Mus musculus: one gene and its partners. The main gene of each other region encodes a partner of the protein of the gene in region 7 in a complex. Links are inferred from orthologs where the notes say so. Each region holds a gene or a part of one and is shown on either strand. Other genes may lie near its edges. The genes, in order: Polr3c, Polr3d, Polr3e, Polr3f, Polr3k, Polr3g and Crcp.

What was found.
Region 1: Crcp (region 7) and Polr3c share a complex: the UniProt entries of both Homo sapiens proteins name them as parts of the RNA polymerase III complex. The link is inferred for Mus musculus from reciprocal best matches to the Homo sapiens genes CRCP and POLR3C.
Region 2: Crcp (region 7) and Polr3d share a complex: the UniProt entries of both Homo sapiens proteins name them as parts of the RNA polymerase III complex. The link is inferred for Mus musculus from reciprocal best matches to the Homo sapiens genes CRCP and POLR3D.
Region 3: Crcp (region 7) and Polr3e share a complex: the UniProt entries of both Homo sapiens proteins name them as parts of the RNA polymerase III complex. The link is inferred for Mus musculus from reciprocal best matches to the Homo sapiens genes CRCP and POLR3E.
Region 4: Crcp (region 7) and Polr3f share a complex: the UniProt entries of both Homo sapiens proteins name them as parts of the RNA polymerase III complex. The link is inferred for Mus musculus from reciprocal best matches to the Homo sapiens genes CRCP and POLR3F.
Region 5: Crcp (region 7) and Polr3k share a complex: the UniProt entries of both Homo sapiens proteins name them as parts of the RNA polymerase III complex. The link is inferred for Mus musculus from reciprocal best matches to the Homo sapiens genes CRCP and POLR3K.
Region 6: Crcp (region 7) and Polr3g share a complex: the UniProt entries of both Homo sapiens proteins name them as parts of the RNA polymerase III complex. The link is inferred for Mus musculus from reciprocal best matches to the Homo sapiens genes CRCP and POLR3G.

Annotation. Positions count from the first base shown.
Region 1 is NC_000069.6:96,724,591-96,728,611, forward strand, and holds the start of Polr3c (DNA-directed RNA polymerase III subunit RPC3), read right to left. Parts: upstream 2,850-4,021; 5' UTR 2,759-2,849; exon of another isoform or gene 2,523-2,758; intron 1,410-2,522; 5' UTR 1,391-1,409; coding exon 1,244-1,390; intron 1-1,243. Other genes in the region: E3 ubiquitin-protein ligase RNF115, read left to right, coding at 3,219-3,320. UniProt on the Homo sapiens protein: DNA-dependent RNA polymerase catalyzes the transcription of DNA into RNA using the four ribonucleoside triphosphates as substrates.
Region 2 is NC_000080.6:70,440,671-70,444,933, forward strand, and holds the start of Polr3d (DNA-directed RNA polymerase III subunit RPC4), read right to left. Parts: upstream 2,802-4,263; 5' UTR 2,663-2,801; intron 2,558-2,662; exon of another isoform or gene 2,451-2,557; 5' UTR 2,446-2,450; coding exon 2,281-2,445; intron 1,726-2,280; coding exon 1,682-1,725; intron 786-1,681; coding exon 634-785; intron 494-633; exon of another isoform or gene 492-493; coding exon 367-491; intron 98-366; coding exon 1-97. UniProt on the Homo sapiens protein: DNA-dependent RNA polymerase catalyzes the transcription of DNA into RNA using the four ribonucleoside triphosphates as substrates.
Region 3 is NC_000073.6:120,927,724-120,931,297, reverse strand, and holds part of Polr3e (DNA-directed RNA polymerase III subunit RPC5), read right to left. Parts: intron 3,411-3,574; coding exon 3,295-3,410; intron 2,871-3,294; coding exon 2,788-2,870; intron 420-2,787; coding exon 312-419; intron 50-311; coding exon of another isoform or gene 38-49; coding exon 1-37. UniProt on the Homo sapiens protein: DNA-dependent RNA polymerase catalyzes the transcription of DNA into RNA using the four ribonucleoside triphosphates as substrates.
Region 4 is NC_000068.7:144,530,720-144,534,293, reverse strand, and holds part of Polr3f (DNA-directed RNA polymerase III subunit RPC6), read right to left. Parts: intron 1,941-3,574; coding exon 1,873-1,940; intron 1,137-1,872; coding exon 1,069-1,136; intron 1-1,068. UniProt on the Homo sapiens protein: DNA-dependent RNA polymerase catalyzes the transcription of DNA into RNA using the four ribonucleoside triphosphates as substrates.
Region 5 is NC_000068.7:181,862,885-181,867,218, reverse strand, and holds the start of Polr3k (DNA-directed RNA polymerase III subunit RPC10), read right to left. Parts: upstream 2,860-4,334; 5' UTR 2,761-2,859; coding exon 2,650-2,760; intron 1,274-2,649; coding exon 1,186-1,273; intron 1-1,185. UniProt on the Homo sapiens protein: Core component of RNA polymerase III (Pol III) which synthesizes small non-coding RNAs using the four ribonucleoside triphosphates as substrates. Can mediate Pol I proofreading of the nascent RNA transcript.
Region 6 is NC_000079.6:81,686,973-81,690,546, reverse strand, and holds part of Polr3g (DNA-directed RNA polymerase III subunit RPC7), read left to right. Parts: intron 1-1,290; coding exon 1,291-1,350; intron 1,351-3,370; coding exon 3,371-3,421; intron 3,422-3,574. UniProt on the Homo sapiens protein: DNA-dependent RNA polymerase catalyzes the transcription of DNA into RNA using the four ribonucleoside triphosphates as substrates.
Region 7 is NC_000071.6:130,027,828-130,032,116, forward strand, and holds the start of Crcp (DNA-directed RNA polymerase III subunit RPC9), read left to right. Parts: upstream 1-1,478; 5' UTR 1,479-1,572; coding exon 1,573-1,580; intron 1,581-4,289. UniProt on the Homo sapiens protein: DNA-dependent RNA polymerase catalyzes the transcription of DNA into RNA using the four ribonucleoside triphosphates as substrates.

The DNA of each region.
Region 1 (4,021 bases), on a different chromosome or scaffold from region 7:
CGAACTCAGAAATCCGCCTGCTTCTACCTCCCAAGTGCTGGGATTAAAGGCCTGTGTGCCACCACGCCCGGCTTATTTTGTCTGATCTTTATCTTTCTTCTAGTTTTCTGTTTTGAATGTGGTTCTCCTGGAGCCCAGGGAAGCCTTACACTTGTTGTGTATCTGAGGGTGACCTTGAACTTCCCAGCCCCTCCTTTCAAGTCGTGGGATCATAAACATAAACACACCCAGTTCTATACAGTGTTGGAGATCAAAGCAGGACATTTTAGCTGCTATGCAGTGTGAATGGTCTTTGCTACTTTGTGGGTTCTTCTTTTTCCCACCCTTGATACTCCCTTCCCACTCCCATCCCCACCCGGGTTTCACCCTCTAACACTTCATAAGAGAGAAACAAGGAGGAATTAGGAAAATCCCTGAATTTAATTTCTTTCGTTTCTTCTTTGACCAACACTACTAGTAAATCACAACTTCCCTAAATGACCACCAACCCCCCGACTCCACATATTGGGGCTGGCATTTATACACACTCTGAAAAGTTCCCAGAATCCCAGACACTGCACAATCACAGGAACTATCTATAGCTGGCAGAACCATGCCTCTGCTAGAACATGAGGCAAATCATAGACAGTCTGAAGCAGCCCCATATCTGCATACTTGGGATTAAAATGAAAAAATATTCTTATAATATTTTTGTATTTTTTGTTTGTTTGTTTTTTTGAGACAGGGTTTCTCTGTGCAGCCCTGGCTGTCCTGGAACTCACTCTGTAGACCAGGCTGGCCTCGAACTCGGAAATCCACCTGCCTCTGCCTCCCGAGTGCTGGGATTAAAGGCGTGCGCCACCACGCCCGGCTCTATTTTTGTATTTTTAAAGAAACCAAAATCCTCAAACTGTCACTACAATGTAGTCACTCTACCAACTGAGCTACATTCTGGGCCAGGATGGGCAGCCCAGCTTACTTTGTTCTATCACTGTATTCCTTAAAGGCCATACCCCACCAGTAGACTTACTGTGAATAAATGAGTGTGGCATGGGAACAGCCAAGATGAGCTAGGAACACCACAAGCGGCAGTACACGGGGCCTAAGTACAATACCACACCCCACCCCACCCACTGTGGTACTGACCACAGGGCAGACGGTCTCTGTTCATACTTTCTAGGGGAAGGAGTTCTCCTGTCCAAAGGTACTTGAAGGAAATGATTGAAGAAGTTGAAGAGGAACAGACTCTCTTATCTAAACATACCTGGTCCAGGGATGCTTTTGTGTCGTGGGCAATTACTCTAAGTGGCTGGCTTCCAGTTCTGACTAGGTGGACTCCAATTTTTTCTACAATCTCACCAAAATGCTCTTGCAGCAACAAAGAACACAGTTTAATCTCTGCTTGAGTCATCGTTCTTAGAGCCTCAGAACTAGGAAAGAACAACAATATAAATTCACATATTTTTTTTCTAGAGGGCAACTTGACAATATAAATCAAACCCTCTATATATTAAGGCATATATTTGCCTTAATATTTATAAGTTGAGATCCTTTGTTCCAAGGATGTAGTAAAAACCATGCCATGAGTTCTCTTCACAATACTGGCATTGACATAAATAATCTAGCATCTATCAATAAATTATAGTATAACCTTAAGAGAGTATACTATGCCAACATTTAAAATGACTTCATACAATATAACTACCATAAAATATTCCTAATGTGTTGTCATTTAGTAATTGCAATGGTCAGATATGATGGTGTACACTGCCTGTAATTCTTGCACACAGGAGACCAAAGTCAAAGAATCAATAGTTCCAGGTCAACCTGGGCACAAAGTGAGTTCAAAGCCAGCCTGTGTTATACAGCAAGACTCTGGTGGGTAATACACCCACCACCCACCAAAACAAAGAACTAGAAAACTAGACATCAAATTTGTTTTCTAAAGCCAGGTATGGTGGTGCAAGCCTACAATTTCAGCACTTAGGAGGTGGAAGTATGAGGGTCAGGAGCTCATGGTTACATATTGAGTTCAAAACCAGGTTGGCTACATGAGATCCTATTAAAATTAAAAAAAAAAAAAAAAAAAAGGCAAGCCATCCTCCCCTATATATGCCATTTATTTTAATGGGAATATATGTGGTTTGTGGTTCCAATAATCTTTAAAGACTGGATTCATCTCGGTATGGTGGCTAACATCTGTATTTCCAGCACTAAAGCTAGAAGACTGTCATAAACTGAAGGCCAGCCTGGGCTACATAATAAATACCAAGCAAATCTGGTCCAGAGTGAGACCTTTAAAAGCAAAGGGGGAGGGAAAGTGCGAATAACTTTCTGTCACAGATACAAAGACCTAAGGCTCATGACCCAGTGGGGTACAACTTATTCCCAAGCCATAAACCACGACTTAGATAGATAAAGTAAAAAAAGAGCTTCTTAGGGTATTTCAATTAGGAGATGAAGTTATGTTCCATTGAGAACCATATTAAATTTTTACATCATGAGACACAAGCAGGAATGGGTGTAGTTGATTTTGAAATTACCTCCCTATCACAAGCTCCAACTCTCTCGAACCTAAATTTTTGTCCCTCTTGCCACAGTGTCGCAGAGAAGACTATTTCACTTAGCCACACACACGTCTTTGGAGAAACATCCTTAGACCAGTTGCCATCCTTGAATGCATTTCCTGGCTCCTCTCCCTTCATGCAAGTTTCTGTTCCGGACTTTGTTTCTTGGCCCTGAGTCAGGGCCTCCTCATTCCGGCAGCGTTTTCACTAACCTCAGGGTCGGGGCTAATTTAGAAGCTCCAAATGTTGTCCTCCCGAGGCCAGCAGCCTCAGCTCATGAGCTTCCCATCGCCCCTTCTTAGAAGTAGAGCACCATCCAGGCGGACGCGGAAGGGTCAGAGCACGGGCCGCTCTAGCCGACAGTGTCGGTGGTTTCCGGGGACGCTCTTTCTCTCCTCTCGTTGGGAGGCTGGAGGACCGGCCAGGGGCTGTCTGAGGTGCCGGCGGGCGGGCTCTCCTCTGCCTTTGGTGCCGGGAGGCGGGCCTCGGGTCGCGTGGCCGCTGGCGGGCGGGCCTCTCGGGGCCGGGCGGACTCACGTGACCCTTGCGGGCCTCGGAGCGGCGGGCCGCCCAGAGGAGGCGGCGACGGCGGTGGCGACCGCAGCACGGGAGGTAGCGGCCTGGGGAGGGACCGCCGGCCGCCCTTTCGGACATCCTCGGCGGAGGCGAAACATGGCGGAGGCCTCGGCGGCGGGGGCGGACGCGGGCTCCGCTGTCGCCGCACACCGTTTCTTCTGCCACTTTTGTAAGGGCGAGGTCAATCCCAAACTACCGGTAAGAGCCCCGTGTGTCCCGCGCTCCGGCGCCGCGTAGGTCCTTGGCTCCTAGGGCTGGAAACCGGGTCTTAGGCTGCCCGCACACCCGTGATTCCCTTGACACCGGTGTTCTCGGTACCTGCTGCCCGCTGTCTCCGGGCACTGGTCGCAAACCCTGGGCATCAGGGCCAGGGTCCTGCCTATCCCTCATTTCCGCGGCGTCTCCAATCAGCCCCTCATTTCGCTTCCGCTCTTTAATACCACCCCCATCTTTTTTTGTCTCCTCGGTGAATTCTCGGGCAAATCTGCGTCCAATTTGCTCTCAGTCCCCTTCCTTGTCTTTTCGCGATGACCTATCCCCTGTACTCTTTCCGTTTTTGCGGCTCACCTACTCTTTATTTTTCTTCCCACTTCTCAACCAGATCCTCCCCCCTTCTGCATCCTCAGTGAGCCGAAATAGCATATTGCTGAGGACTTCTTAGTAGGTTTTGTTGAAGTACAGAAAGAGGAGGTTTGGAAGGTAACAGGGAAGAGGGAGATTTTGTTCTTCAGTGGTTTTTGGGTTCTTGTGAAAGTGAAAATAGCAGTGTACCAATGACTTGCAGACTGCGCTCCCTGTTGCTATCGAAGGAAATGGCTTTGGGAAGAAGGTAGGACGTACTGTCTCAACTTATTTTGGATATCACGTTGCCAGTGTCTTTAGCTCCACTTTCCTAGCCC
Region 2 (4,263 bases), on a different chromosome or scaffold from region 7:
CTTCACTCTCCTCCTTAAAAAGCCACCCTGAATGAGCCAGAGGCAGCTGCACTGGCATGTTCCGTGTGTCATTCTTTAGCCCCGGGTCATCGATGAACTGCCAAAGAGTTGGAGGGGGGGGGGGGTCACATGAAATGTCAGCACGTGTGCTTACATCACAGCCCGTTTCGGGACTTGTGTCTCTCTCTTTTCTTTGCATATGTGTACGTCTCACACAGAGGCAAGCTCGCTCTCCACTGAGCTGCACCCCCAGCCCCTCTTTAGTGCTCCTGTAACCAAAAGCTTGAACATGTCCCTGGCCTGGCTCCCTCAAAACCCTCTTTAGCAGCTACAAAAGAACCTGTCCCCCAGGCTCCTGGCACCTACGTCATCCTTCTCCAGCATGCGCAGGATCTGCTTGGTCTCTTCGTCTGTTTCTCTCTTCTCTTTTTTGATGTTGATGATATGAGAAGGTCCCATGTCGGACATGTCCACGGTCTTATCCCAGTTCCCTGCGGGAAATCATGCTGTCCACTAGGGTTCAATAAGGAAGACTGCCCACAGCGAGGAGAGCCCAACTTGGAATGGAGACTCCCACGCTCTGCCTTCTCAGGCAGTCTGAACTGCAACCCAGACCAGGTCCCTTCCTGGTACCTTTTTTTTTCATCATTTCTGCCGGACCCTGCTCGAAGATAGAATGGGACTGGATCACTTCCGGGCGGCCACGTCCCCGTCCGTGACCCTCACGCTGGCGGTCCCTGTCCCGTTCACGCTTTTCCTTCTTCATAGTCACTTCTTCTTTTGGCCTGGGAATGAGGACAGACAAAAGGGTCTGCCTCAGGAAATGGAGCCTCCTCGCTTGCCCCTTTCAGCCCGCTGAGCAGAGCTTGTGAGCCAGTAAGTACACTACGAGAATCGGCACCCAACCCTTCGCTATACCTTTGACATCTCCCATAAAGCACGGCCTTTAATTTCCTTCTACTTTACCGTCTTGTCAAAATGTGGGCCTTTTGTTTTGTTTGTTGGTTTTTTAACCCTCTAAAAGTAGAAAGGCTGGAGAGCAGAGGACCTTAAGGCAAAGTTGGAGAGTTCAGCCCCACCTCGGCAGAAACAGAAGGTAGCTGAAACTATAAGAGATGGAGCCTACTGGGTGGTTACCCAGCTCCTAAAGGAGAATAGAAACTCAGCCCTTTCCTCTCCTTAATTTCTTTCTTCCCTTGGGTATTCCGACTGCATTCATTGCCATACCATGAACCCAAAAGCAAGAACCACCTGATTGATCGTGGACTAAAATCTCCAAAACAAAATGTCCCTCTCTGTAAGCCAATTATCTCAGCTATTTATTACAGAAAAAAAACAAAACAAAACAAAAACCAAAAAGACCCTCTAATGCAAAGTGCCCTGGAGCTAAGCGTGGAGGTGTACATCTTAATCCCAGCACTCAGGACACAGGTCTGAGAGGCAAGCACATCTCTGGGAGTTCTAGGCCAGCAACCTACATAAGTGAGTTCCAGGACATGCAAGGCCATGTAGCGAGGCACTGTCTCAAAAAGAAACATGCCCCTATATAACCCAGGATTGAAGGATGAGAACCACTGGTGAATAAGCTAATAGCGTAAGTTAAAATCTCTAGGCCACACAACCTAATTACGTCCCCAAATTCAGAGCTAACCGGGGTGAGTACTGTTCATTCATTACTTACTCTTCTTTGATCTTCCGACTGATGATATTTGGGGTGAAGGTTTTCTGAAAAGTAAAACACAGTACTGTATTTTCGATGTGCTCAACTGACCAACAGTCCTGGGATGGCTTAGAGAGACAGGTAGACTATCACCAGTAGCCCCCAAGGCAAAGCTAAAATGCTTTATCCTGTGTTTGCTATTCCTTTTCAGAGCTACTCGGTACAGTTACATCTACTGTTACACACATAACAGGAGGGGACAAAGAGCAGTTACCGGCATGCCTAAGATTCATCACTTACTAGATTATTAGTTTTCAATACTGACATCCACAGAGTTATGAACACTCGAAATTGCAAGTAAAGCAATTTTGTCTGGCTTTCAAGGGATTTTGTAAGGAGCCCAGAACATAATAAGCACTTCCGGATGTCTTGAATCAACTAGATTCACTGTCTTTTAATTGCCTAGGAGACCCTGTCAGTGTCCTGTACCAGCACCTAGGTTTGCAGGTCTCTCTAAAGGCTGACATCCCACCAGGGGCCCAAGGCAGCACATGAATGAACATCACGAGTCGCCTCCCTACGGCCTGGGTGGGTTTCTATACAAACGCGCTCGCAGGTACCTTCTTGACTCCGCCAAGGGTGAGGTCCCGGGAGCGGATGGAGGGAAGGCGACCGGGCGTAAGCGGGGGTGCGGGCCGCCGGCCGATCAGCCCCCGGCCCCCAGAGAGAAGGGGTCGCGGCCCTCCAGGATTGCTGGGCTCGCCCGCCGCGTTTCCTTCCGACATGGTTCCTAGAAGAAAGTAGGCAACAAAGTGACTCCAAGGGCTGGACGCGAGGACCCTGGGCGGAACCGCACCCACGTGGCCTCCCGCCCCCCGCCCGTGCGTCGCTCTCGCTGCAGCTCAGCTCCTCCCCGTCCCACGTGGCGAGGCTTCCCGGAGCGCCCCACCCCTAGCTTTGGACTCCGTCACCTGCCCTTTCCCTGGGGACTTCGTGACGCACCTGCGTGGAGGCTCTGCGCCGAGTATCACAACCTCACCTCCGACTAGAGCAACCACGGGCCGCGGGTCTCCGGGCAAGGCGGAAGTCTGCGTGGCAAGGACCGGGCGCTGCCATCTTACCCTGGGGCGGAAGTGACATCAAGGGGGCGTGACCTGACCATAGTATTTATCCGACGGTGCCTCGCCGCCCTCCGCCTTCTCTTCCCGGTTCTTCCCGGAGTCGGGAAAAGCTGGGTTGAGAGGGCGAAAAAGGATGTGGGAGGTGGACTGTAAGCTGTGCCGGGGTGTGACTCGTGGGGGCGTGTCTCGGCCCCTGGCAGGGAGTAGAGGTGCGGTCCTCGGGGTCGGAGGTGGAGGGGCTCCAAGGTCGCCTACCTGCTGTATGTGGAGTCCACACTGCGCAGCCTCTGGGAGCAGTGGGGTCGCCGCTCGGGATGGGGCTCCGGACATAGGGAGCTTAGAGCCCTCAGGCCGTGGCTGGCTGCAGCCTCCCTGCGTTGACCTTGGCGTGGTCATTGCACCTTCGGGCTCGACCCTTTGCTCGCGTGCGCCTTCCCTTGCCGGTCCCTGGGGTCTTGGGGTGTCACCCTTAACGCAGTTTGGACAGAGCAGCCAATAGCTCTTCTCATCTACCTGGGCCCATGACTGCTTAGTCAAATCTGGGAAGCCTTTGGAACTGAAGTTTGCTCTTCAACTGGAAGGGTTTTTGTTTTTTGATTTTTGGTTGGGAGGTGTGGGTATTTTTAAGACAACCCTGCTCTGTAACCCTATCTAGTCTGGAACTTAAGTAGACCAGGCTGGCCTCGAATTTGCAGCAGTCCAGTCTCTTCACTCATCCCTCAGTTGTAGGGATTACAGATGTACACCACCAATCCCAGCTGAAAAATTTTTTTATTGTAATGTGTGGTTGCAATCTAATCTGGGGGGGGGGGAGTCATTTAATGTTACACTACAGCGACCCCAATACAAATAAAAAGGTTATGTAATTCTAGGGAAGGAACCTATTTCTGCTGGAATTCCATAGGCTGCTAGCATTAAAATATTTTTGATGTACTGTAATATTGTGCCACACAATAGTGTATTCTTTGTCGGAGACAAATGACCAATGGGAGGATATATATGTGCATATTTATATGTATATATCGTAACTTGTTTCCTTAATGGGGCACTTACTTTAAATAGGTATGTTGTTAGAAATAGCTAGTGTACATTTGATACATCCAACTTTTTTGCTTTCTTGTAGATTATATCCCTAGGAAAGAGTTTCAGAAAATGTACATATTAAAAGTATACTTTGCTGGGCAGTGGTGGCACACGCCTTTAATCCCAGCACTTGGGAGGCAGAGGCAGGTGGATTTCTGAGTTTGAGGCCAGCCTGGTCTACAGAATGAGTTCCAGGACAGCCAGGGCTACACAGAGAAACCCTGTCTCGAAAAACCAAAATAAATAAATAAAATGAAAATAGTAAATAAGTAAACTTCATTTTGATGTCATACATATGCAGTTATTTAAAAAAAAAAAAGGGGGGGGGGGAAATTATGTGACAAGCCAGGCATGTTGGTGCATGCCTGTAAACCCAGTACTTGGGAGGAAAAAGCAGGC
Region 3 (3,574 bases), on a different chromosome or scaffold from region 7:
ACGTCTTCTTCTGCCTCGTCCTGAGAAGAATCCCCTGCTGCAAAGCAAGCTGTCAGTACAGTCTCTACTGGGACTGCTCATTCTGCCCCAACATAACCCTCCCTCAAGAGCGCCAAGCAAGGGGCCCTGCTCTCAACTGGAGCAGTTTAATCCTCAGGTGATGTCTGGCCATCTGTGGGGACATTTTTTGGTTGTCCCAGATGTGGTATTTAGTAGGCAAGGGCCTGGCATGTCAGTAAGAATCCCACCACCTGATCTCTGTCAAGTGCTCACGTGAGCTCATTCAGACCACAGGCTGTCAGCAGGCTCACCCTCATTGGCTGCCTCCCTCTCTCGGTGCTTGGCATCTGCCTTATCAAGGTAGGAGAAGCTGGGCCGAAGCTGTAGGATGCCATGTAAAGGTGTCAGGTGGAGCTCACCTGGCAAAAGAAGAAGGGTTTGAACATGCCGCTACAACCCAAAGCCGACATACCCAACTTGCTCAAAGGAAACACCAAGTCCCCCAGAAGGCCTACACTCACTGTTACAACACCAAGCCAACTCCAATTCCAATTTAGCCTCTTCAGGAGACCAGGTCAGGAGCTGTTTCCAACTAGACACACTAAGCACGCCCAGAGCAGGAGCCTGATTCTGCTCAAGGCTACTTCCTGAGATTTGCCTCTCTACACTCTCTGCCATGTCATGTCTCCAACCTCATGCCTACTGCTCCCTCTATCCACAATGCACAACTCACCCACTCTTCCCTCTGGGCTCTGCTATAGTGCTGTTGCCAGACCCTACCAGAGTCCATTAGAGGACAGCATAGCCTTTAACTAATATGTCTCTGGCTGCAAGGATTATAGCTTCCTGGGCTGGAGAGATGGATCAGCAGTTAAGAGCACTTACTGCTCTTCAAGAGGACCCACATCTGATTCCTAGCACAAATACGGCCCCTCACAAGCACTCCTAACTCCAATTCTGGACTCTGCAGGCACCAGGCACGCAAGCAATGTACATACACACGTGCAGACAAAGCAGTCAGACATAATAAATCTAACAACAGATGAGCAGGCAGTGGTGGCACACACTTTTAGTCCCAGTACTTGGGAGGCAGAGGCAGGTGGATCTCTGAGTTTGAGGCCACTCTAGTCTACAGAGTGAATTCCAAGACAGCCAGGACTACAGAGAAACCCCTATCTCAAAAAAAAAAAGAAAAAGAAAAAAAAGGGGGCGGGGGGCAGGAGGGTGGGTAGTGTTGCAGCATTGAGCTGTAGTTCAGAACAAGACAGTAGCTATGGACGACAACAGGATTCTTGAGACAGGATCTCCCTACATGGCCTTAGAAGTCCTGGACGTACCGTGTAATATACCAGACGCCCTGCCTCTGCCCCCGAGTGCTGGGGTTAAAGGTGAGCACTAGTGATACACTTCGGAATGTCTCCTCTCTTCTCAGAGCCTGTCATTCGTTGCTTTGCAAAGCCCAAGTGCTGAATGTAGTACCTTGAGCAGCCAACAGATGTGCGGAGTGTGCTCTGACACACTAGACACCCCCAGCTGAAGCACACAGCTTGATATACACTAATATAGTCTCAAAATTGTGGCAACTCTGCCACTCTCAGCTTTGGCACATCTTCAACACCTCAAAAAGAACCTGTACTTCCCATGATCACCTTCTTCTGCCCTTGGGGATATAGTAGAATGGTTAGCTCTGTCAACCTGACAACACCTGGAGTCTCAGTCAGAGTGGCTAGACTGTTAGCCTGGGGCACGTCTGTGGCGCATTATGGTGATTAACGAGACAGCACACTCTCTGTGGGTGGAACTGTTACAATGGGCAGAGGGTCCTGAACAAGAGTGTAGAGAGCAAGCCGAGTACTACATGCATACATGTATTCATTGCTCTCATCTTGACTGTGTAATTACTTCCTGCTGGTTCAGCCTCTCAGGAAGGTCTGTAAACTGCAACTGTGAACCTCTTTTTCCCTCATCTGCTTTTGTCAAGGTGTTTTGTCACAGGAATAGGAAAGAAAATTAAAGCACGTAGTTCGCTATCATTTTTTTGTTGTTAGTGGTGTCTGTTTTGAGACAAGTCTCTCTCTATATCCCTGGCTGTCCTATATACTATTTAGACCAGGATGGTCCAGAACTCAAGAGATCCACCTGCATCTGCCTCACAAGCACTGGGATTAAGGGCATGCTGAGATTAAAAGTGTGTACCACCATGCCTGGCTATATGCAGTGTTTTGAGCATGATTTCTACCATCCACATGGATGCATACATTCATCAGGGATTCGCTCTTTCACATGAGCAGATAAGTCTGTTATCCTTATAGATGTCCTGTGGATATGGCACATTTTGTTTACGCAGGCATCACGTGATAGGTTTGGGGCCGTTTCCATTCATTGGCTCTCATGAATAAGGTCCTATGAACATCTGTGTCCAAGGTTTTATATACACATATTTCTATTTGTCCTCAGTGCATGCTGCCCATGTATGAATAGGATTGCTTGGTTCTAAGTAGCATGTACTTAAAAGGACAAAATTCTGCAGCCTGTCCAATACTATGCTATGTTGCATATGTGTTCCCAGGAGCAAACTGACTTGAAGCTCCAACTCTACCAAGTTGGAAGTGCCCAGCAAAGTCCTCTTCGCAGTGCTTTGACTCCATAGTTTTTCATTTCCACACTGCCCTGATCCTGCACAGTTTAGTGTTCAGTAGCAGCCAACAGCACACATAAGACTAGATGAGGTCCTCAGGCCCAGTCTTCCCCGTGCTCTCCCAGGGTATAGCCAGCTCTCCCAGGTACCTTGCCTGTAGAGTGCAGCGGCATAACGAGCTGTGTTGCTGGTGGTCTGGGAGGAGCAGAAGGTCTGCTTGTCCATCAGCTTTCTGGGAACACAAGGAGAATTAGTGTCAAGGGCTATGATGCTCTACAGAAGCCGGCCAACCCTATTCCATCCCAACAGAGATCCACCTGCCTCTGCCTCCCGAGTGCTGGGATTAAAAGTGAGCACTTGTGATACAACTTTGGAACGCTTCCTCTATTCTCAGAGCCTTGTCAATCCAATGTATACTAGCTAGGACTAAGGGATGAGAAAACCCAGAGCTCTGAGGGATCAAGGGATAATGATGGGCACCCGCTGGGATAAGCCAACGTAGGAGGGAAGGCCAACAACACTCTTGGTTAACGGTAGAGACCTGACATGATTGGGATCCCAGGGAAAGGGCAGAAAGGACCCAATGCCTGAGGCCACTAGAGACTCCTCTTTAACCTTTACCTTCAGTGGGAGGGACCCTGGGGGCAGGAACTCACGAGGAATATGTGCTAGTCTCGTCAGCACAGGCACCGTCCACGTTCAGTGCGATCTGCTCCCCTTTGCTGCGGCAGTAGTTGGGATTCAGGGTGTCGATGGCCATCTCAAGCTCTACCTGAAGGTACAAAGCACCACCCAACTTGGAAAGTGCCATGGCACAGCTCCCCAGGGACACTCCCAGCCAGGTCCCTACCTAGACGCAAGAGTGACCAGTGTCCTTCCCAATGGACACCAGGGTTTCAGTCCACACAAAAAGCCACCAAAGAAATTCCTAACAAA
Region 4 (3,574 bases), on a different chromosome or scaffold from region 7:
AGAAAATAGGAAAGCTGATAGCACATCATTTAACTCAAAGTTCAGAACTGTTTTCAGAACCTAAAACCTGAAGAAACCAAACCAAACACTGGGATAGAGACAGACTACAAGAGCCAGTGATAAAGTATATGCTTTGTCATTCTAACTGAACATTTCCTGGAATCTTGGTGTGGTTTTGTTTTGTTTTGTTTGTTTTTTGAGAGGGCCTCACTATGCAGCTGCGGTACAGACCATGCTGGCCTTGAACTCAGAGATCCACCTGCCTCTGCCTCTCCTCGTACTAGGATAAAGTGATGTATCACCATCTAGAGGGACATTTTCTAAAATATATATAAAACAACAACATTTTTGTAATGAAAAAAAAAAAAAAAAAAAACCCCACCACACAAACCACGAACATGGTTGAATTAGCTTACATCACATCTCCTTTCCAATCTTTTACCCTAATCTCATCTTCCTGATAGTTTCACTTCGGTGGCGCACACCTTTAATCCCAGCACTTGGAGGGCAGAAGCAGGCAGATTTCTGAGTTCGAGGCCAGCCTGGTCTACAGAGTGAATTCCAGGACAGCCAGGGCTACACAGAGAAACCCTGTCTCGAAAAACAAGAAAAACGAAAACAAACAAACAAAAACCAAAAAAAACACTGTAAATGAAAAGGAACTTAAATTTGAATCATGTTCATCTGCCATCTTCAACCATGGGGTGGGGGTGGGGGATACAAAAGTTTACCTGCTTCAATTCATGTACATCTATTATTTAAACAACATCCTACTTGTAAGATGGAAAAAAATAAGGCTATGGTTCTTAAACTCAATACCCATTGTGGGAAGTTATGAGTTTTCCTTCAAACAAAGTTGTACATGAAGAAAGAGACTATGTACAAAACATACATGCTTAGCTGCATGTAACAGGATATGCCTGCAATCTCAAATATCAGGAAGACCAGACCAGAAGATACTGAGTATGAAAGCCTGGTCTACAGGATGGGACCTTCTCGTAAACAAATGAACAGAACACTTTTTTAGGTCTAGCCCTGCAGACAGCACCTCACCCTTCCCATACTCACCTTTATTCCCTGCATCCTCTATGATTTGATAGACCAGTTTTTCCTGGTTATCGGACCCCTTCATTTTACTGCAGGGAATAGAGCAGAATTAAAAAAGGAAAAATTGTAGGCTGTGTTATCATCTGCATGACTACTTCATTAGCAGACAAGGCTATCATGCTGACTTATTTAGCAAAAGAAAGGCTTACCTTAAAAAGAATGAGACAGAGTTGTGTGTAACAATATGAAAAGATGTCCAAAGTACAATAAATAATAAAAAAAAAAGTTACAGAACAGTATGGATAGCATGATCCAGACTTGTGAGAGAAAGAAAGAAAAGAGAGAAAGAAGAAGAGCGAGAAAGAAAGGGAAAAAAGAAATAATATATATAGAATCATCCATGAATATTTAAATCTGTCTAGAAGAAATTACCAAGAGCAGGTCCTCTGGGAAATGGAAACACAGAACAAAAGCAGGATGGTACAGTTTCTTCTGGGTTCTTACTTCGAGGCAGGATCTTTTGACACATAGCTTAAAATTGTCTTCAACCTTATCATTCTGCCTCTGCCCCCATGTGTCAAGACTACAGGTGTGCACCACATACTGAGCTACATTATGTTCATACAGTCTCTCACATAGCTCAGGCTGGCCCTCAACTTGCTGTGTAGCTCAGGATAGCCCTAAATTTTCTGCCCTACTTCCCAAGTGCAGTGATATGGGTGTGTGCCACAATACCTGTTACTATGTTAGCATTTGTTTTAATATGTACATTACTTTTGCAATAAACACATTTTTCACAAAATTAAAAAATAGGTGCTTACTTACCCAGCATTCTGAGAATCCTTTATTCTATATAAGAGGCCTGTGTTACTCCTTAAAAGATCCAACTGACCCTAAAGCGTTTTAAAATAAAATATCATAGTCAATTACTCTGGAAATATATCAGTTCAGATGGCAAGTTTACTACAGTTTTAAATGTGTTGATTATACACACTATTCTGCTACCCACATTTGTTAGTTCTTCATCCGAGACTGAGGATTTTGTTTGCACACCTCAAACAAGGTATTTTTTAAAACTAATATAAAGACAGTTCAAGCTAGAGATACTAATTGTGTCCTATATACTAACCTGGTTTCATAATTTGGCCAGGGCACAAACAAGTTTGTTCTTGTTTTTTTCTTTTCTTTTCTTTTCTTTTTTTTTTTTTTTTTTTTTTGAGACAGGGTTTCTCTGTGTAGCCCTGGCTGTCCTGGAACTCACTCTGTAGACCAGGCTGGCCTCGAACTCAGAAATTCGCCTGCCTCTGCCTCCCAAGTGCTGGGACTAAAGGCGTGTGCCACCACACCCAGCCACAAACAAGTTTTTTTTAAAAATCTATTGTCAGTTGTGGTAGTGGCACATACCTTTAATCCCAGGGCTCAGGAAACAAAAACAGGCAGACATGAGTTTTAGGCTAGCCTAGTAGTCTACAGAGTGAGTTTCTGAACAGTCAAGGCTATACGGAGAAACTCTGTCTCAGGGGAAAAATTATTTTATTTCTTATATATGGATATTTTGCTAGCATATATATCTGTGCACCATTTGTAAACAATGCTCATGGAGGCCAAAAGAGAGCACTGAATCCCTGGTATTGAAGTTACAGCCAGGTGCAAATCATCTTGTATGTGGGTACTGGAAACTCAGGCCTTCGTAAGAGTAGCAAACGCTCTTAACCTGGGGGAAGAAGAGACAGCTCAGCAGTTAAGAAGAGCACTAAGAGTTCTTACACAGGACTGGGGTTCAGTGCTCAGTACCCACATGCAGCTATCAACAGTCTAACTTCAGTTCCAGGAGATCAGTGTCCTCTTGTGGTCTTTGTGGGTACCAGGCATGCATGCAGTGCAGGGACAATACATGCATGCAAAACACTCACACACAATAAATAAAAAGAAATCATTTTTAAAAAGTTGTTTTAGGATAATATATATATATCCATATTGATTCTAAATAAGTCCCAATTATATAAAATATGGATAGATACAATTAAAATAGAATTTGTACTGATAAAAATTTAGTCCAGATAAAGTATAAACATGAATATTCAACAGTATACTAAGTTAAACTATAGTTATTAATGACATTTACTAACATGTACAATTTAATTGTGAATGGAGAATTAGGCAAAAAGGTTAACCAGTGAACAAAAGGTCTCCTGTAGTGGTATTTTTTATAATGAAGCAAAATAAGATAAATCATGTTCTATCGTGCTTTTGAACCTCCTTGGACCTGGGCATCCTGAGAATCCAGATGCATGTACCACTGAACTTGCAGAAGTTATATATAACTATAACCAAGAGGGGGCCCTACTGCATATTAAGAATGTAAAATAGGTTTACTTACTGGATAAACTGCAGTGCCCTCCCTTCTTCATGAAACGGCAACATGGGATCACAAAATTCAATTCAGAGGTCCCCATCTGTCCTTTATTCAGGCTATTCTGGCCACTCACTAAACACCTGTACTGCACCATTTTAGGATAGCTGTTTG
Region 5 (4,334 bases), on a different chromosome or scaffold from region 7:
TTTTTTAACATTATTTTATGTGCATGTTTTGCCTTCAGGTATTCCGTGAATCATGTTCATGCAGTACCCTTGGATGCCAGTAGAGGGCATGAGATCACCTGAAACTACAAGTACAGAAGGTCTGAGCTGCTATGGAAGTTGGGAAGGAAATCCAACTTAACCACTGAAATCCTACCCAACTATTTCTTGGTTGACAGACTGACTGAGGCAGGGTCTCATGAAGCCCAGATAAGCACTGAGCCTTCTGCCTATACCCGGAGAGCACCAGAATTATAAGCTTGAGCAACCATGCTTCACCCCTAGTTACAATTTTTTTTTAATTCATATAATAAAAAATAAAATGAAAATAAAAGACCAGGGCTGATCATTTTTTCAGTGTTGGTATTTGAAAATACATACAACATAACTCTCGAGAAGCCTACACCTGCTAGAGCATGGATCTCTCTTTCCCTCTCAACAGCTATGTTTACATCAATGTTGAAACTTTTTTGTAATGAACTCCAATTTTGCTTCAAGAAGAGAATATGCACCAGATTTATTTTTAATTATACTTTTCCATATCTGACTTGAGAGTCTAAATGAAACAACAGTTCAGGTATCCGTATGGTAACTTTCCTTTAAAGAATACTTGAAAGAATCTACTTTAAAAAACATTTAATACAGCCAGGTGGTGGTGGCATATGCTTTTAATACCAACATACGGGAGGCAGACAGGTAGATCTCTGAATTTGAGGCCAGCACAGTCTACAGAGCAAGTTCCAGGACACCCAGACTACACAGAGAAACCATGTCTCAAAAAACAAAATCAAACAGCAACAAAAATGTAAAACCTTGTTTAGAGTTAGTGACAAACACTAGCTATTTGTCATTACTTTGTTATTTACATCTTCTTAAATTCTTTTACACTTACACGTACGTACGTGTGTGTGTGTGTGTGTGTGTGTGTGTGTGGTGGATGGTACAGAGTCACAAAAAAAAAGTTTCCATCAGTCAGCTCTCTTCTACTCTCTGGGCTCCAAGAATCTAACAGGTTTGGCAACAAGTGCTTTTACCTGCTGAGCCATCTCACTGGCCCTAATAACAGACAGGGTTACATTATAATAATAAATTTATTATTATTAAATATAATAACGAGTAATAATAAGCAGGGTTGAGTCCCTAGCTCTGTTATGGGAAAATCCTCACCTGCAGTAGAGTCCACATTCTCCCATGCAGCTGCTCCACCAAGCACGTCGTCCACTTCTTTTAGCTTTGGATACTTTCGGTTTGTTACCTAATAGAAACAAGACATCAGATTTGAAGTAATTGTACAGTTTTACAAGTGGGCCACCAAACTACAATCTCCCTCCAGCATTCCCTCTACAAAATTTATCTTCTTCAAAGAGCAGTGTGAGTCACTGAAATGTAGGGGTCTTGTGACTGGGATGTCCCCCAAAACAGCACAGAGGTTCAATGTCAAAGGTCTCTAGAAACAGAAGGAAACACCAGACAGAGCAGGAAGAAAAATCAGCCTAGTAAAACCTCACTCTTCTCTCATACCCCTCAGACACCTAATAATCCAACAGGAGTGACAGACATTTAACTGGGTATACCAGCACTCCCCAGGTCATTTTGGCTGCTTTCCTAAGTTTATCAGGCATCCTTCTAATTTCGAAATTATGTCACAACTCATCTTACCACAAATCCAGACTCTAAACTCCTACCATACAGCTCTAATGAGCAAACATTAAGAATGAGATGTCACCAAGGCCCAGTGGTGCACACCTGCAGTCACTGAGGTAAGGAGGAACAAAACAAGAGTTGAAGGGTACACAAAACACCAAGGGCTAGAAATACAGCTTTCTGGGCTCCAACACAAGCACCACACACACAAAATAGCAACAAGGATATAAAATATTAGAAGGCAATGCATTCTGTGAAAAATATAAAAGGAATGTGGATAAACTGAAAGTGCTGGGGTTTGGTTTGTTTCCTGTGCCTGTGCGTGCGTGTGTGTGCGTGTCTATGTGCTATGCAGCCCAGGTGAGCCTTGAACCTATTCTCCTGCCGCAGCCTCTCCAAGTGCTAAAATTATAGACATGCACAAACAGCCAGAAGGGCAGGAATCTAAATAAGGTAGCCATTATTTTAAAAGAGGAGAGGGAGAGAGAAAGGAAGAGGGAAACAGAGACGCATACATGCACACATACACGGGGGTAGGGGGTAAGGCGGAGAATGAATAAGTGTGATATGTGCCTGTGTAAGAATGACTCGGGCAAAAGGAAGGACCTAACAGTACTGCGTACATGGTGAAGATTCTCTAGAATAACGACAGGGGCTGGGAGCAAAAGAGCCACAAGAAGAACCCAAGGATTTCAAATCAGAGGCGAGGCGCGGACTGGTACGCCAAGGACAGCACGAGGGGAGTGTAGGTTTAAAAGGTATGAACTAAAATTCTCACAATTTTCGGAGTATCACAAAGTGGGCAACGGAGAGCTAGAGGGGGGTGGGGGGGCTTCGACGTGGCCGGAGCGACGCCACTGGAGCAGCGACTGCTGGACTTGGGGTACCACCGCAGCGAGAGCACAAAAGCCTGCAGGAAGGTCTGAGCGCGCCGACGCTTGCTGTGCCTCCCAGAAAGCAGAGAAGGCACCCGTCTGTGGAACTTACCTTACGGGTGATATTATGGACGTAGGGGCAAGTGTTGCAGGCGAAGCGATGGCAACGCTGCCCCTCCTCCACAATGAGTCCGTTCCCGCAGCCCGGGCAGAACAACAGCATACTGCCAGCTTCCACACCTCGCTTCTGTCTGGCGCTTCCGTGGTGCAGGCGCCCAATCAAAAGCCGTCTCACTTGCTCCGTAACTGGCAACCCGGGATCCTCAAGACGTTCCCAGTAGGCACTGCGGCGGGCAGCCTCGCACACTCCATTGGTCACCGCAGATAATCCTTTCCCATCCAGCCAATAGCATGCTGCCTGCACGCCCAGCCCTGTCGTTTCTGCGCGTGTGCACACGTCTCCCTAGCTGAAACGCCAAGAGGACTGGACCGATAATGCTGGCACCACCAGAGTACCCAGGTGAGAGGTTCTGGGTGATGAGGAGACACTTGCCGCACTCCGAGCCATGGACGTGTTACAGGAGGATCATGCTGCTCCGCAATATTCTCATCCGGAACGGACAGAAAATAACCAAATGTCCCAGGAACACTGTCCCCATTGTTAATACTACGTCTCAACTGCTGTCTGACTGACGTACGATATCCTATCTGGACCTGCCATTCCTCCATCTGGCCATTTCTTCACCTAGTTTCATTCTGCCCTTTCACTTACACAGCTAGACTCAACCCTGCAGGTAACAAATACCAGCAGCTCCTTTTCACAGACGTCCAGCTGACTCTTTTATCTCATTTCCTATAGACATTTATATTTCCCAGCTCTGGCTTCTCAGATTTCTTTGAAACTCCTTGCCTCTTTAATCCTCTGCAGTCATTCTGCAACATGCACATGTATGTGTGTGTTGTTTTCTGTTTGCTTTAACTATACACAAACTAAATATCCAGGGAGAGGAACCCCAATTGTGAAAATGTCACCATAAATTGACCAGTAAATAAGTCTCTGGGGGCATTTTCTTGAGTTAAAATTGGTAGGAGAGGGTCTAGCCCATTGGGGGCGGTGTCACCACCAAGCCAGTGGTCCTGGGTGATATAAGAAAGCAGAATGATGGGGCTGAAGAGATAGTTCAGCTGTTGCTTGTTCTTATAGTGAACACTGGTTTAATTCCCAGCACCAATATGGTAGCTCACAAACGTCCATAACCTCCAGTTCCTGAGAATCCAATGCCCTCTTCTGACCTCCGTAGGCACCAAGCACGTCTTTGGTGCACGAACAAGCATTCAAAAAAAAAAAAAAACAAACAAACAAAAACCCTCATACACTTAAGTAAGTCTAAGAACAAAATGGAGAGAGAGAAAAAAGCAATCTGAGAATCTGAGTAAATCATGAGGAGCAAACCAGTAAGCAGCATCCCACCATGGTAATGGCTTCTGTTTCTGCAGCAAGTTCCTGCATTGACTCCCCTAAACAATGGACTCTTGACATGTAAGCCAAATATTTATGGCTAGTTTTGTGTCAACCTGACACAGCTGGAGTTATCACAGAAAAAGGAGCTTCAGTTGGGGAAATGCCTCCATGAGATCCAACTGTAAGGCATTTTCTCAATTAGTGATCAAGGGGGAAAGGCCCCTTGTGGGTGGGACCATCTCTGGGCTGGTAGTCTTGGTTCTATAAGAGAGCAGGCTGAGCAAGCCAGGGGAAGCAAGCCAGTAAAGAGCATCCCTCCATGGCTTCTGCATCAG
Region 6 (3,574 bases), on a different chromosome or scaffold from region 7:
CATTTGTTACCACCACCCTGGATCTTTGGTTAGTTCTTTTTTGTATAGTCTTTTTTTCTAATACCGGATCTCACTCTTTAGGCCAGGCTACTCAGCAGCTCACACACCTCCACCTGCTTCCCGCTCGTCTTCCCTTTCTTACAGCTAAACCTCCAAGCCACTTAAATTTTTTTTTTGTTATTAATTTTTTTCATGAAGTATTTTGATTGCTTTTCCTCTTCCTCAATTCTTCCCTGATTCTTCCCACCTCTAACCTTCCTAACTTTGTGTTCTCTTTCTCCATCTCTCTCTTTAAAAAACAAAAACCAAGAAACAAAACCAATCAACCAAACAAAGAGGCAAGAAACAAATTCTCACAAAGATACGAAAAGAAAAATCATAACAAATGGGTAACAGGAAGATCAAATAATAACACACAAAACCAGTAAGCTTTGGCCAACTGTTCCTGAGCATGGAGCCTAGGTGTATCTAGTGAAACTCCACTGGAGAAAACTGTTTGTTCCCTTTGCCAGTGGGTACCAATGGTTATGGCTGGGATCTCATGAGCACGTCTCCTTCTTAGTGCTGGGACCTCATCTGTCTTGAACCTGTGTAGGCCCCATGTATGCTGCCACCATCTCTTGGAGTTCATATGTACATTGATCCTGTTGTGCCTGAAGACATTGCATGGAATCATCAGTCACCTCCAAACCTTGAGGGGAGTCGGGAGAGGTCATCCCACTCGGGACTGAGAGCTCCACCCACTCAGGACTGAGAGCTCCACCCACTCAGGACTCACAGCTCCACCCACTCAGCACTCACAGCTCCACCCACTCAGGACTCACAGCTCCACCCACTCAGGACTCAGAGCTAGTCAGGTTGTCTCAGGCTGAGAACCAGGTTTAAGGTTGCTGTCTCTGCTTAGCCCGTCATTGCTATCAGTGAATTTTATCCAGGTTACTCTAGTTGAATTTGTCAATGTTGATCCGGTTACGTGTGTTATATACAAATGTAAGAAATACATGAAAATAAGAGACATTATCTGGTGATATAAGTTGCTTTAAAGAATAGCTTAAGGGCTGGTGAGATGGCTCAGTGGGTAAGAGCATTGAATGCTCTTCCAAAGGTCTTGAGTTCAAATCCCAGCAACCACATGGTGGCTCACAACCATCTGTAATGAGATCTGAAGCCCTCTTCTGGAGTGTCTGAAGACAGCTACTGTGTACTTACATTAAAAAAAAAAAAAAAAAAAAAAAAGAATAGCTTAAGTTTTTGTGTTTCTAATGAATGCTTTTTCTCTTCTCACCCTAGATGATATTGAAAGGTATAGCAAACGATACATGAAGGTCTATAAAGAAGAATGGGTACCAGGTACTATAAAATTGAGTGTGCTTTTACAAAGATTCATCTTAGTTGTATTTATGTCTGTGTTTGTGTGTGTCTATGTCATGTTTGTGAGTCCCTTGGAGGCCAGAAGGAGTCAGATACCCTGGGGCTAGCATCCCAGGACAAGGCTGCTGTGACCTCCCTGATGTGGTTCTTGAAACCAAACTTTGATGGAAGGCAAGCACTCTAAAGCATCTCTCCAGCCCCTTCAAATACTTTTTAAAGACCACCTTCCCTATCAAATACCATAAAAGTTTATTAGATTCTTGGGCGTTTTCTTTGTTTTTAGCTGTCGAAAAGTAGAGTCTTTTTTTCCCCTCCTGTAATTAATTAGTAATGAAAATCACTTTAAGGATACCTTAAGTCTTTCTCATATGCTATGAGGCATAGACAAGTTTTAGCTACTAGCATACCATTTTGGTAGAAAGATGCTGAGAGGCTCGTTGTTAGCATTCACAGGTGTGACATTGCATAGCGACAGGCAGAGGGGACCTTAAAGGAAACTCATTAAACCAGTTTATGTTATAAACAGAAAACAATTGTCATAGAAATGAAATAACCTGTCAGGGTCTCTTACCAATACTGCCTGCTGTCCCTCAGACATGCATCCTTTTATACCTGTGACACTAATGTTTTTATAGAAACTGCCCTTAGGTGACTGTAAATATCATTTACAAGCTTGTCACTTTCCCAGAGTAGAGTGCTCTCTTTGCCTTGTTGATCTTAAGATGTGGGGCTAGGATGGGAACCCCTTTCCAAATCATTCTTTTTCATGGTCTAAGAAGTTTAAAACTAAAATATATGGGGCTGGAGAGGTGGCTCAGCCGGTAAGAGCACTGTCTGCTCTTTCAAAGGTCCTGAGTTCAAATCCCAGCAACCACATGGTGGCTGTACAGCCATCTGCAGTGAGATCTGACGCCCTCTTCTGGGGTGTCTGAAGACAGCTACAGTGTACTTACATATAATAAATAAATAAATCTTAAAAAAAAAAACCCTAAAATATATTCAAATCAAAAATTATCTTTGTAGGTAAAATGATAACAATGGTTAACTATTTTGTAAAAATACTCTGACATTCCTTTATCAGCAGCTCCTATCTTTAAACCATTTTTGAATATTTCAAATATTTTAACTTATATATTTGTGTTTTGTGTACATGTGTGCACATGCATATGTTTGTGTATACACCAAATGTGTGTAGATGGCCTGAGAAGGCCAAAAAAGGATATCAAATTTCCTAGAGCTGGAGTTATGCATGGTTGTGAGCCACACAGTAGGGGTGCCGGAAGCTGGACTGGGGTCCTCTGAAAGACCAGGAAGTGCTTTCACTACTGAGTCATCCCTCCCTCCAGCCCCCTTGAATCTATATTTAAAAACAAGACTAAGGATTGTAGAATACTTGCCTAGCATATACAAGGCCCCGAGTTAAATTTCTAGCACCCTCCAGAAAATTAAAAGAAAGTAAATAAAAAAAGGAATTGTTTAGTTAATGCAACGCGGAAAGCCATCCCTTGGGGAGAATTTATATGTTCAGAACTACTAGTATTTTTAATTGAAAATTTCAAATAATTATTAAAATTATTTTATGTCTTATGTATTGGCTTTGATTACCTGCCTTAACTTTTGAAAAAAAAAGTTACATAATATGTATATATCAACAGACAACTTAGAAAATACAAAGTAGCCAAATAATAATAGTAAAGAAAGCACTTGTCATCTTGATAGTAACATCCACAAAGAATTTCCATAAGATTTTTTTTTCCAAGACACTTAATTACACCATTTCAAAGCTGTTTAATGAGATCTTTTTCTCTACAGGAGAAACTATGTCAGGGTCGTTCTATTTATATTGGTTTTGTTTTGTTACATTCCACACTAAATCTGTACAAGCAGATACTAAGAAATGTTGCTGTCTTTGCATGAGCAGCTGTTACTGTGTTAACTAGCTAAGTCCAGAGCCACCAAGGACACTGAGACTTTTCTATTCTTTCTTTTGTACACATAGATTGGAGAAGACTTCCAAGAGAGATGATGCCAAGGAAAAAATGCAAAAAAGGTACACTGGCTAATAGACTGTAGTCCGAGTTTGTAAGAGTATTGCTGAAGCTCGGTATTGCAAATTCTCTAAGTGTGTCTGACATTTTGATTGTTTTACTGCCTCTTAGTGACTGTTGACTTTTGAATCTTCTATTTTCTTACGTTAATCTCA
Region 7 (4,289 bases):
CCTCAAACACTCTTGGCTTTGGGACGCCTCTTTGTCCTTGTTAGTCATTCCCCTGACTGTGCTGGAGTCTAAACACAGTGTGTTATTTATGCCCTGAACTGGTCCTCCAACTGGGCTGTCAGCTAGCTTGGAGAGTGTGTATTATTCACATCTGAATCACCAGCACCCAGTGGGCAATCACGGTAAGACTGTTGAGCGAGTAACACCATGAACACCATTGTGGGACCCATTCTCCTCAAGACAGGTACAGGGCACCATTCAGTCTTACGTTATGATGACATTTTATTTACTTGATAATTTTTTAATTTAATTTTTTCTTATTTTCAAATACCATCATTCTTGGATGTACCTGTTGAACACACACACACACACACACACACACACACATGTGTTGGTTTTTATGAGACAGAGTTTTCTTTTCTTTTTGTTTTTTTGAGACAGGGTTTCTCTGTGTAGCCCTGGCTGTCCTGGAACTCACTCTGTAGACCAGGCTGCCTTGAACTAAGAACTCAGAAATCTGTCTGTCTCTGCCTCCAAAGTGCTGGGATTAAAGGCATGTGCCACCATACCAGCCAGACACCCTCTATTTCTAATACATTATCCCCTGCAAACCATTTTAACACTCACACCAATCTCAGCACTGGGAGGCAGAGGCAGGCAGATCTCTGAGTCTGAAAGGCTACTTAATGAAAATCTGTCTCTCCCCCCCAACTCCCAATTTTTAACGGTTGTATGGGAAACGGGATCTCTACATAGCCTACGTTGACTAGAATTCACCATGTTGCCCAAGCTGTCCTCAAACTCAAGGCATTCCACCTGCCTCAGCTTCCTACGTGCTTAAACCATTCCCCCAGTTCTATTTCTGTCTGTTGAGACTGGGTTTCTCTTTTCTCTGCCTCCTTCTTTCCCCCTTGTTGGAATTAGAGGCTTGTGCTACCTTGCCTGGCTTATGTTTTTTGTTTTGTTTCATTTTGTTTGGTTTTTTTTTTTTTTTTTTTTTTGGTTTTGTTTTCTGTTTTTTTGAGACAGGGTTTCTCTATGTAGCCCTGGTTGTCCTGGAACTCACTTTGTAGACCAGGCTGGCCTCGAACTCAGAAATCCGCCTGCCTCTGCCTCCCAAGTGCTGGGATTAAAGGCGTGCGCCACCACTGGCCGGCATGTGTTTTTTGTTTTTAACAAAAACAAAAACACAAAGTCTCAAATAGCCCCCATGGCTTGAAAGTCATTATGTAGCTCAGGCTGGCCAGAAACTCCTAACACTTCTCCTGCCTCAGCCTCTCTACTGCTGGGTTTACAGGTATGAGCCAGTATGACCGGTTTAGGGATTTTAATGCGGCCAAGGCAAATCCTAACAAAACCTGCACTACGAAAACGCTCGACAGTCTGAAATTAGACCAGGATAGGGACACCTAGAATTAAGGAAGAACCGGGCGTGCCCCGCAGCGATCCCGGCATGCACCCCGGCGGTCCCAGCGTGCCTTGCGGCACACACACGGAACCGGTGAGCAGAGCAGCGCCGGCGCAACGTGAGACTCTTCTCACGGCGGTTGCGTACGCTGAGGCAGAGGCAACATGGAAGTGTAAGCGACACGACCAGGGGAAGCCAGGATCATCTGGGGACCGCGAAGCGGCCGGCGGCTAGACCTCGGGACCCGCGAGCAGGACGGGTGGGCGGGGTGCACGGGCCGGAAGTGCCTGGAAGTGGGGCGGCAGGGGAGGGACCCTGCTGCTTGGGAACTCGCTCGCCTCCCACATCTTTTGGGGAGGGGAATGTTGAAAGGATAGAGAGGTTTCCTTTTTTTCTTTCTTTTGGTTCTGGGAATGGATCCCAAGACCGTGCACGCGGTCTGGAAGTAGTGCGACCCAGAGATAACGTCCCAGTCATTATCATTACTATCTTGGGATGTGGACTTTGCATACGCTAGGGAAACACTCTACTACTGACTGAGTCATATTCCCAGCCAGCATCATCACCATCATCGTTTTGTGATGGTGGAAATGGTACCCAGGACTTTGCTGGGCAAAGGCTTTGCCACCGACCTGCATCGCCAGCCATTATCGCTATTGTTATTTTGGAAATTTGAGGAAGGTACCCAGGGTTGTGATCGTACTGGGTGTGCTAGTTTTCTTTCGGTTGCTGTGACAAACACCATGACCAAAGCAATTTAGGAATAGAAAGGTTTTTATTACATCTTACACTTCCAGGACACAGTCCATCATTGAGGGAAGTCAGGGCAGGAACTCGAGGCAGGAAACCGAAGCTTCAGAAACAGTTCAAGAACTCTGATGGCTGGTTTACTCTCTGGCATTTTCTAATTTTTGTTTGTTTGTTTGTTTGTTTGTTTTTTTGAGACAGGGTTTCTCTGTGTAGCCCTGGCTGTCCTGGAACTCACTTTGTAAACCAGGTTGGCCTCAAACTCAGAAATTCGTCTGCCTCTGCCTCCCAAGTGCTGGGATTAAAAGCCTGTGCCACCACCAGTTGGCCAGGTTGTACCCTCCTGCATCATTTAATAATCAAGACGATCCCTCATGGACATGCCCATAGACCAGCCTGATAAAAGGCAGTTTGTCATTGAAGCTTCGTCTCCTTTTGATGATTCCAAGCTGTTTCAAGTTGACAGTTAAGACCAACCAGAAAACCAGGCCAAGTTTCCCCCCCACTCCCTCCAGACAAGGTTTTTCGGTAGAGCTCTGGCTGTCCTGGACCACGCTTTTTAGACCAGGCTGGCCTTGAACTCAGATATCCATCTGCCTCTGCCTCCTGAGTGCTGGGACTAAAGGTGTGCGCCACTACCGCCTGGCAACTAGGCAGATTTCTGAACAGTACCCCCAGCTGTTGTTGGGATATACTCTTCTTCCTTCTCCTCATCATTATGGTCATCATTTTGTGATGTTGGGGATGGTACTCACAGTCTTACACATGCTTGGCAGGTACCACTGAATGACAGACACCTTCCACACCGTTATTATCATTGTTATTGTGATGATGATGTGGTGTGGTGCTGGGGATAGAACCTAGGGATGGTAAGCAGGTACTTTATTACTAACACACACACACACACACATACACACACACACACATATACACATACACACACGCACATACACGCACACACACACACACACACATATACACATACACACACGAACATACACACATATTCTCTCTCTCTCTCTCTCTCTCTCTCTCTCTCTCTCTCATGTGGTGTTTGGGATGGAAGGGACCTGAACATGCAGACAGTCACTCTACTAACAACAAAGCTACCTGTCAGCTTATTTTTCCACACTTTTTTTTTTTGTTTTTGTTTTTTTTTTGGGACAGGGTTTCTCTGTGTAGCCCTGGCTGTCCTGGAACTCACTCTGTAGCCCAGGCTGGCCTCAAACTCAGAAATCCGCCTGCCTCTGCCTCCCGAGCGCTGGGATTAAAGGTGTGCGCCACCACACCCGGCTCCCTGTGCCTTTTAATATATGGTCTACTATATAGTCAGAGTTGGGAAACTGGACCTCTTCTTCCTTTTACAGCTAGCACTTAGAAAGGAGAGGCAACAGATACATAACAAGCCAGCAATAGGCTTCAGATGAGAGTGCCTGTTGGCTGGCTGTGAGGTGGGAGGGAGCTCTAGGTGAAGTGTTCGTTGACTTCGATGCCTTCTGTTTTCTGGTATCAAAGGGTAGCTTTTCAGAACATGAATTGATGGCATGCTGCTTTTAAGCTTAGAAAAGTTTAGCAATTCTGTTCGTCACTCCGTCCCTAAGTCAGGTGTGTGGCAATTAATAGGCACTGCTCACTTGTTTGGTGTGTGCTTGTGTGTGCTTTTAAGGAAAGAGTGTCAATAGATCATTTTGTTCTGTGTATTCAGAACTCTGTTTTCCAAAATGCCTGTTTACTTCTGTTGAGCTGACTCAGCAAACTTTGCAGGGTAAATTTCAAATGGCAAGTCAGCTTCAGTTCACTAAGGAGTTGCTCAAGGGCACTGAATAACCACCCACCTACCGCACAGACTCCACAGTCTTTAAAATTCACTCGGACCCAGGGTCGTGCTCCTTAGGAGTGGGGGCAGGAGGAGCACAAGGCCGAGGGCAGCCGCAGCTGCAGAGCAGGTTCCAGGCCAGCCTGTGAGTCTGTCACAGTGAGAGCCTGTCTCAAAAACACACTGAAAAGGCCCAATCTGTACTGAGGCGATCCTGCCTCCACCGCCCTGTCCCCTTCTGCGCTGGCTTGAGTTGTCCGGCAGTGACTTGGAATGGCCAAGGTCACGTTTCTCAATCACGAAAGCAGAGAGCCGTGG